Linked DNA regions of Sus scrofa. The protein of the gene in region 1 purifies or fractionates together with the protein of each later gene. This does not show direct contact. Links are inferred from orthologs where the notes say so. Each region holds a gene or a part of one and is shown in the gene's direction. Other genes may lie near its edges.

Region 1 (3,646 bases):
CCTGGGGCCAGACCCTACCAGAGGAGGTTCCAGGTTGTGCCTGCTGTGAGTGCTTTCATTTGCTGTGTATGTTTGTGCAGCATTTAACATTTCTGTGTGCTGTGTCTGTGTGTTGTTTGTGTGTCCATTTGTCTGGGGCTTGGCTGCTCCATCGCTCACAACTTTTCTCTGTTTTCCTCCCTCCCGCTTACGGGCTGCTCTGTTCCCAACAGTCTTTCATAGGATTTTTGCTAATGGTGAGAGCTCCCTCTGCCCCACTTGGGCGCTGTTCGTGCTCCCTCTGCTCCCCTTTGCGGCTGCCCAGTGCATGCAGTCGTGGGAGCAAACCCTGTTCCCCTGCTTCCCCCGCCTAATTATGCCTGCTTGGCTTCCACCCTACCAGCCCTTTACCTGCTTGCCCTGCCATAACCTGCTTGTTTCCTGTGGATTCTGCCTGGCTGGCCATTTACGTCCTGGATTCTTACTCCCCTCATCATCAGGCTGGTTCCCTAAGTCATATTGTGCTCCCAGACTCTCTGTGACTTGTAGTCGTTGTTTATGATCTGAGTGAGTTCAGATTGGGCCTGGCTCTGGTTCCTCTTTCAGCCTGTGGCACGCAGTGTAGAAGAGTAAGGGGATAGAGCAGAGGTCTAAGTATTTTGGTGGATTACAAGCGAAACCGATTTGAGGGTATCGGTTCAGTTTTGAGCTATTTTTTTGAGTTTCGGCCAGCAAAGGTGGGTAAGAAGGAGGCTGTCTACTTGGTTGTATGTTAATCCTTCTTTTATCCATTGTCATCCAAGTTTCTGAGGTCTCTAAGTTGTTCCAGATTAGGAAGGGCTGCCTGTGTTTTCATGATGCTTACAGGGTGGCTGAGAGACCTAGACCAAATGTTTGCAGGTGATCAGGGATTAGAGGCACCAGGGCTTTGGGGAAGGTAAGCAGGTCAAAAGTGAAAGTTTTCCCTTAGACTGTGGTGTTCTTGTCAGCCCAAAGGTGCCATGCCACGTATCTGTTTGTTTAGCTAGCCTGGAGCCTTGGCTGCCACTGAGTTGGGGACCTTAGATGAGACGTGGTAGAGCTGCGAGAGGGGAGGCAGGTAGTGTTCATTTGTCTGGAGTTCCTGATGGGAAAGGGATAGGCTTGTGCCTGTTGAGGGTTAGGACTGCAGGAGAGAATTTGTCTTTTGGGAGCCTCTTTCTGGAGTGAGGCTGTGCTTTGTGGTTGGTGGTCAGATTGTGGGTGTCTCCCCTACTCCCAGTGGCTCCTGATACTATCAACAATCATGTGAAGACTTGTCGGGAAGAGCAGAAGAATCTCCACTTCTTTGCACCAGAATATGGAGGTGAGGCATCCCAGATTCTCCTCCTCGTGCCCATCCCCCAGGTTTTCCACCTTGACCTGTGGGTCGGAGGTAACCTAACTGAAACTTCTCTCCATCTCTACTGGCATGCAAAAAGTTTTAAGATGTCTCTGCCATCCCCTGATCCTTTGATTCACCAGAGCTTGTCTGTTTTCCCTAGAAGTCACTAATGTGACAACAGCAGTGGACATCTACTCCTTTGGCATGTGTGCACTGGAGGTGAGGAGACCAAAAGAGTGGGTAGTGGAAAGGGGTCAGATGAGAAGGTGGAAGGGGAAGTGGAGGGTTGACAAGGTACTGGAGGGAGTGATTGTGGGAGCACTGAGGATCTTAGGTCTCTGCTCTTCCTTTTTATTCTCCCTGACTGCAGATGGCAGTGCTGGAGATTCAGGGCAATGGAGAGTCCTCTTATGTGCCACAGGAAGCCATCAGCAGTGCCATCCAGCTTCTAGAAGACCCTTTACAGAGGGTAAGAATCTTTAGGATCACTTCCTCCTTAACAGCCTTTGAAATGTCTTCAGGTTTTTCTTCCTTCTGCCTCCTGGGAGTATGCTTTCTTCTAAGAGTAAGAGAACATACAGCAGAAGGGGCGAGCAAAGCAGTGAACATTGCCCTAGGTGTTTTTGGTATACACCCTCTCCCCCTCTCTCCCCATCTCTCTCCCCATCTCTCTCCCTCTCACAGGTTAGGGGTTTAAGGTGGGTAATATTGTGGAGTTTCCATTGTGGCTCAGCGGGTTAAGACCCTGAATAGTATCCACGAGGATGCGGGTTCAATCCCTGGCCTTGCTCAGTGGGTTAAGGATCTGGCGTTGCTGTGACCTGAGGCATAGGTCGCAGATTCGTCTCTGATCCCACATGGCTGTGGCTGGCAGCTGCAGCTCTGATCCAGCGCCTAGCCCAGGAACTTGCATGTGCCGCAGTTGCAGCCCTAAAAAAAAAAAACAAAAAAGTAATATTGGGATTAAAGGTTGTGTATTAAACCCAGCTGTGTCTACATGAAGGCAAACTAATTTGATGCTTATCTCAGGCAATTAATTGGTATACATACACTCTTAGACAACCATCATGATTTTTTTTTTTTTTTTTTTTTTTTTTTTTTTTTTTTTTTTTTGTGGTCTGTTTAGGGCCACACCTGTGGCATGTGGAGGTTCCCAGGCTAGGGGTTGAATCGGAGCTGCAGCCCCTGGCCTACCACAGCCACAGCAGCACCAGATCTGAGCCTCATCTATGACCAATTCAATCAAGATCTGAGCCGCATTTGCAACCGATTCAATCAAGTCAGTCATTTGGGGTTTTAGATATACATAGTTTTAGTTAGGGAAAGTGCCCTGAAATAAATGAGCCAAGATTAGAAGGATGTAGGGGTTATGAATCAGGACATCGACTGCAGTAAATAGAATCTGGAGGAGAGGGTCCAAACCAGAAAGTTAGTTTGTAACTCATTAGATACCTTAAAAGGGAGCAGGAGAGAAAAGAAGAAAGACGAAGTAGGAAGTCTTGAGGCTAGTCTGGAATATGTTTCTAGTTCAGTGTCAGGGTGGGATGTTCAAGTGCTAGAACAGGTATATGGCCTTATTGGCCTTCAGGATTGAAAGAAGGAAAGCAGGTTGATTGTCATGGGGACCTGTGGGAGGTGGAAAAGCGAGGGTTAAAGGAGGCATGAGGAAATACAGTGAATTGAATAAATGACATAGTAGTCAAAGGAAATTGTGGTAGTAGACTTGGGAAATAAAAAGATGGTGAAAAAAGACAAACTAATGCCATTTGTAGCAACGTGGATGGATCTAGAGACTCTCATTCTAAGTGAATCCAGAAAGAAAAAGACATACCGTATGATACCACTTATTTGTGGAATCTAAAATATGAAACAGATGATGCTATCTAAAAATAACGAACAAGAAAACAAAAAACATCATGGCAAGAAGAGCAGACTTGGGGTGGTAGGGGGAAGGGGAGGGAGTGGGATGGCTGGGCATTTGGGGGGTTTGAGGGATACAGACTTATATTTTGGTTGGATGGGCAACAGGATCCTACTGTACAGCACAGGGAGATGTGTGTGACTGGGTCTCTCTGTTGTACAACAGAACTTGATGAAAAAATGTAAATCCACTATACTTTAATAATAATAATAAAAAAGATGGTGAATATGGAGTTCCCGCTGTGGTGCAGTGGGTTAATGATCTGGCATTGTCTCTGAGGCTGCCTGGGTTCGGTCCCCAGTCCAGCACGGTGGATTAAGGATTTGGTGTTACCGTGGCTGTGGCATAGGTCGCAGCTATGGCCTGGATTTGATCCCCTGGCC
Region 2 (3,741 bases), on another chromosome or scaffold:
ACACTCTGGCTCCTACTAAGAGTTTTAGAATAAACAAAAGAAAGAACTACAACTATTTAACGCAGTAGGTTCTACATTTATGGAGCCCATAAGCTGATTTCATGCTGAAAGTAAAAACAGTCTCAAGATGTTTAAATGAACTCTTCGATGCTGGAATCACAACAAACTCAAGAAAATTAGGAATATGTTGGTAACCTCTAATCTTTTTTTAAACTGACCTCAGCCTGGGCAAGTAACCATCTTCTGATGCCATTGCCTGAGACAGAATTTCTGGCTGAAAGATCCTTTTTCTGACTCAGTCTGGCTTGCTATTCTTGGTTAATCATCCCCATTTCTCTCAACATTTCACTCCTCTGACTATAATAGATAACATTTATTTTCAGGAAAGACTTTTTAGGTGATTCGGTTCCTCCAGCCGCCTCCCTCTTTATTCTAGTTAAATACCCCAACCCCCATTCCCATCACCTTGTTTCACTAAGATTTTGCTAAACATTAGACACAGTAAGCACATGATCTCCAGTCTTCCAGTGTCTTGGAAAAAACTGATATAAAAACATTCGATTGGCGCGGCTGGAAGTTTCTCTAGGCTTGGAATTTTAGAGTTTTTAGTTGTTCAACTCTTAAAGACCGAAAGAGCAAAATATAAAAAAAATTTTTAAATAAAAAACCGCTCCCCTTTCTTAACCTTTAGCCCCGCCCATTGCCCCCCCAGCCTCCACGCGAAACTGCAGGAAACCGGAGGAGGCGGGGCGGTGACGTCACGACGCCGGTGCGTCACGGAACGGCGGCTGCGGCGCTGGCGGTGGCTGCGGCGCGGCGGCATTTTAGTCGGCAGCAGCGGCGGCAGCAGCGGGGCTGCTGCTACTCCCAGCATCCTTGGCGCGGCCATTTCAGCCCCATCTTGGCCGAGGGGAGGGAGCTGCAGCCGTCGCTTCAGCAGTTTGAATTTCAGTTTCTCCAGGACCTGCGAACTGGGCGCACCGAGGAGAAGCCTAAGAAGCTACCGCCGCTACCTCACACAGCTGGAGCGCCGCCGCTCGCCGGCTAGCCGGCCGCCGCCCCTCACTCTCTCAAGAGCCGCGAGGGGAGGCCGAGACCGCCGCCGCCGCCCGCCTGCGGGGGTGGCTCCCCCTGTGTAAGGGGAGGACCGAGCCGGCTTTCTCCTCCCCCGGAGCGGGTTTCCGCCAGAGACGGTCGACATGTCCCTGGGGTTGAGCTCCGGCTAGAGCCGGGGAGGGAGGGCCGCCCGCCCGCGCCGAAGCTCCGCCGCCCGCCCGCGGCGCCTGGCTGAATCAGGAATCCCGGCTCCGGACTCGCCACTCTTTCTCCGTCCACCCTCGGCGTCCGAGAGCTCGGAGCTGACGCCGGCACTGGCTCTAGGAGCCGGAGCGGGGCAGCACCGCCCCTCACGCCGCCGCCGCCGCCGCCGCCTCCTCCCCTTCGCCCTCCCACTCCCACCCCCAGCCAAGGCCTGCTGACCGCGCCGAGCGCCGAGCTGGACTGACCACGGCAGCCCGGAGACAAGAGGAGGAAGCAGCCGGCCCGCCCCTGGAAACGCGCTCTCGCCGCTACTGGGGGTATTGAATTGAGGCGCCGCGGCTGCGGGAGGCGAGAAGGAAGGAGGAGCCGCCGCGCGAGTGAGACCCGGGCAGAGCCGGAGAAACCGACATCGAGAAGGAAACGGGAGGAGGATGTCTCACCGAGCAGCCGGTGCCCAGATCAGCCCGTGACTCGTAACAGCGTCGGGCCTCAGACCCCGGTGCGGACCCGGACTTTGTCTTTGGGGGCCGGTGCTCTGCCCTTCCTGGTTTCCGGCAAGATCGCAGAGGAGCCGCCGTGCCACTCTGCTCTCCAGCCTTCCTCACCATGTCCAAGATGCCGGCCAAGAAGAAGAGCTGCTTCCAGATAACCAGTGTCACCACGGCCCAGGTGGCCACTAGCATCACTGAGGACACTGAGAGCCTGGACGACCCGGACGAGTCACGCACAGAGGACGTCTCCTCCGAGATATTCGACGTTTCTCGGGCCACGGATTACGGGCCCGAGGAAGTCTGCGAGCGCAGCTCCTCCGAAGAGACGCTCAACAATGTTGGGGATGCGGAGACCCCTGGGACCGTCTCCCCCAACCTCCTCCTGGACGGGCAGCTGGCGGCCGCGGCGACCGCTCCCGCTAACGGAGGAGGAGCCCTTTCGACCCGGAGCGTGGCTGGGGTGCTGGCCAGTACCCTGGCATCGGCCGCCACCTCGGCCCACTCTTCGGGGGCCCCCGGCGTGCCCCCTGTCGCAGGCCCCTCCGCCGGGCCGGGGACTGCCGCCCCATCGCAGCCCCCTACCACTTGTAGCTCCCGTTTTCGCGTGATCAAGCTGGACCACGGCAGCGGGGAGCCTTACAGACGCGGCCGATGGACGTGTATGGAATACTATGAGCGGGATTCCGATAGCAGTGTCCTGACTCGGTCCGGAGATTGTATTAGGCACAGCAATACTTTTGACCAGACTGCGGAACGGGACAGCGGCCTGGGCGCCACCGGAGGATCGGTGGTGGTGGTGGTGGCCTCCATGCCTGGGGCGCACGGGCCCGACTCGGGAACTGACAGTTCCTTGACTGCTGTGTCACAGCTACCCCCGTCGGAGAAAATGAGCCAACCCGCCCCGGCCCCGCCGCAGAGTTTTGGCGTTGGGCAGCCGCAGCCGCAGCCGCAGCCGCCGCCCGTAGGTGGGGCTGTCGCTCCAAGCTCGGCTCCGCTGCCGCCGTTCCCGGGAGCCGCTGCCGGGCCGCCGCAGATGATGGCAGCCCCGCCGCCCAGCCAGCCCCAGGGCGCTGGGCACGGAGCCGTGCCCCTGGGGCCCAACGGACAGGGCCTGCCGCTGACGAATGTAACCCTGGCGCAGCCCGGCCTGACCCTGCCTCCGCAGCCCGGCCCGGCGGTCGGCGCTGCTGCCGCGCAGCCGTCCCAGCAGTTCGCATATCCTCAGCCTCATATTCCGCCGGGCCATCTGCTGCCCGTGCAGCCCGCCGGTCAAAGTGAGTACCTGCAGCCCCACGTGGCCGGCCTGCAGCCGCCCAGCCCAGCGCAGCCCTCGACAGCGGGCGCCGGAGCGAGCCCCGCCGCGGCGGCCAGCCTCCCGGTGGGCACCGGCCAGAACGCCGCCTCCTCGAGCGTGCAGCTGATGGGCGCGCCTTCCCTGCCGGGTGAAGCCGTGGCCCCGGGGCCCGGCGCCGTACAGGGCGCAGGGGCCGCGCCGGGTCTACCGGCCACAGTGCCACCGGCTGTAGTGGGAGGCGCGGTGCCCTCAGGCCTGGTTCCCTCCGGGCAGCCGCTGCCAGCGCCTCCGCCGCAGATGGGTGGCAGCGGCACTCCGTCGACCGCACTTGGAGCCCCTCACGCCGTGGTGCCCGGAGTTCCAAACGTGCCTGCAGCCGCTCCGGCTCCCAGCGTGCCTAGTGTGTCTACCACTTCTGTTACTATGCCAAATGTACCGGCGCCCTTGGCCCAGACGCAGCAGCTGAGCAGCCACCCGCCGGTTAGCAGGAGCGGCAGCATCATCCAGCACGTGGGGCTCCCCTTAGCGCCAGGCACCGCCAGTGCACCGACGAGTCTCCCGCAGTCTGATCTAAGCCAGTTTCAGACTCAGACCCAGCCTTTGGTCGGGCAAGTTGACGATACTAGAAGAAAATCAGAATCCCTACCTCAACCACCACTCTCTCTCATTGCTGAAAATAAGCCTGTTGTGAAGCCT

The links. The genes of interacting proteins can lie anywhere in the genome.
Region 2: the proteins of NRBP1 (region 1) and TSC22D2 purify together in Homo sapiens (affinity purification with mass spectrometry; 5 studies listed by BioGRID and IntAct, with this or other methods). This does not show direct contact. The link is inferred for Sus scrofa from reciprocal best matches to the Homo sapiens genes NRBP1 and TSC22D2.

What each region holds. Positions count from the first base shown.
Region 1 is NC_010445.4:111,723,008-111,726,653, reverse strand, and holds part of NRBP1 (nuclear receptor-binding protein), read left to right. Parts: intron 1-1,240; coding exon 1,241-1,324; intron 1,325-1,502; coding exon 1,503-1,561; intron 1,562-1,712; coding exon 1,713-1,811; intron 1,812-3,646. UniProt on the Homo sapiens protein: Required for embryonic development. Plays a role in intestinal epithelial cell fate and proliferation, thereby involved in the architectural development of the intestine potentially via the regulation of Wnt-responsive genes.
Region 2 is NC_010455.5:90,639,672-90,643,412, forward strand, and holds the start of TSC22D2 (TSC22 domain family protein 2), read left to right. Parts: upstream 1-823; 5' UTR 824-1,866; coding exon 1,867-3,741. UniProt on the Homo sapiens protein: Reduces the level of nuclear PKM isoform M2 which results in repression of cyclin CCND1 transcription and reduced cell growth.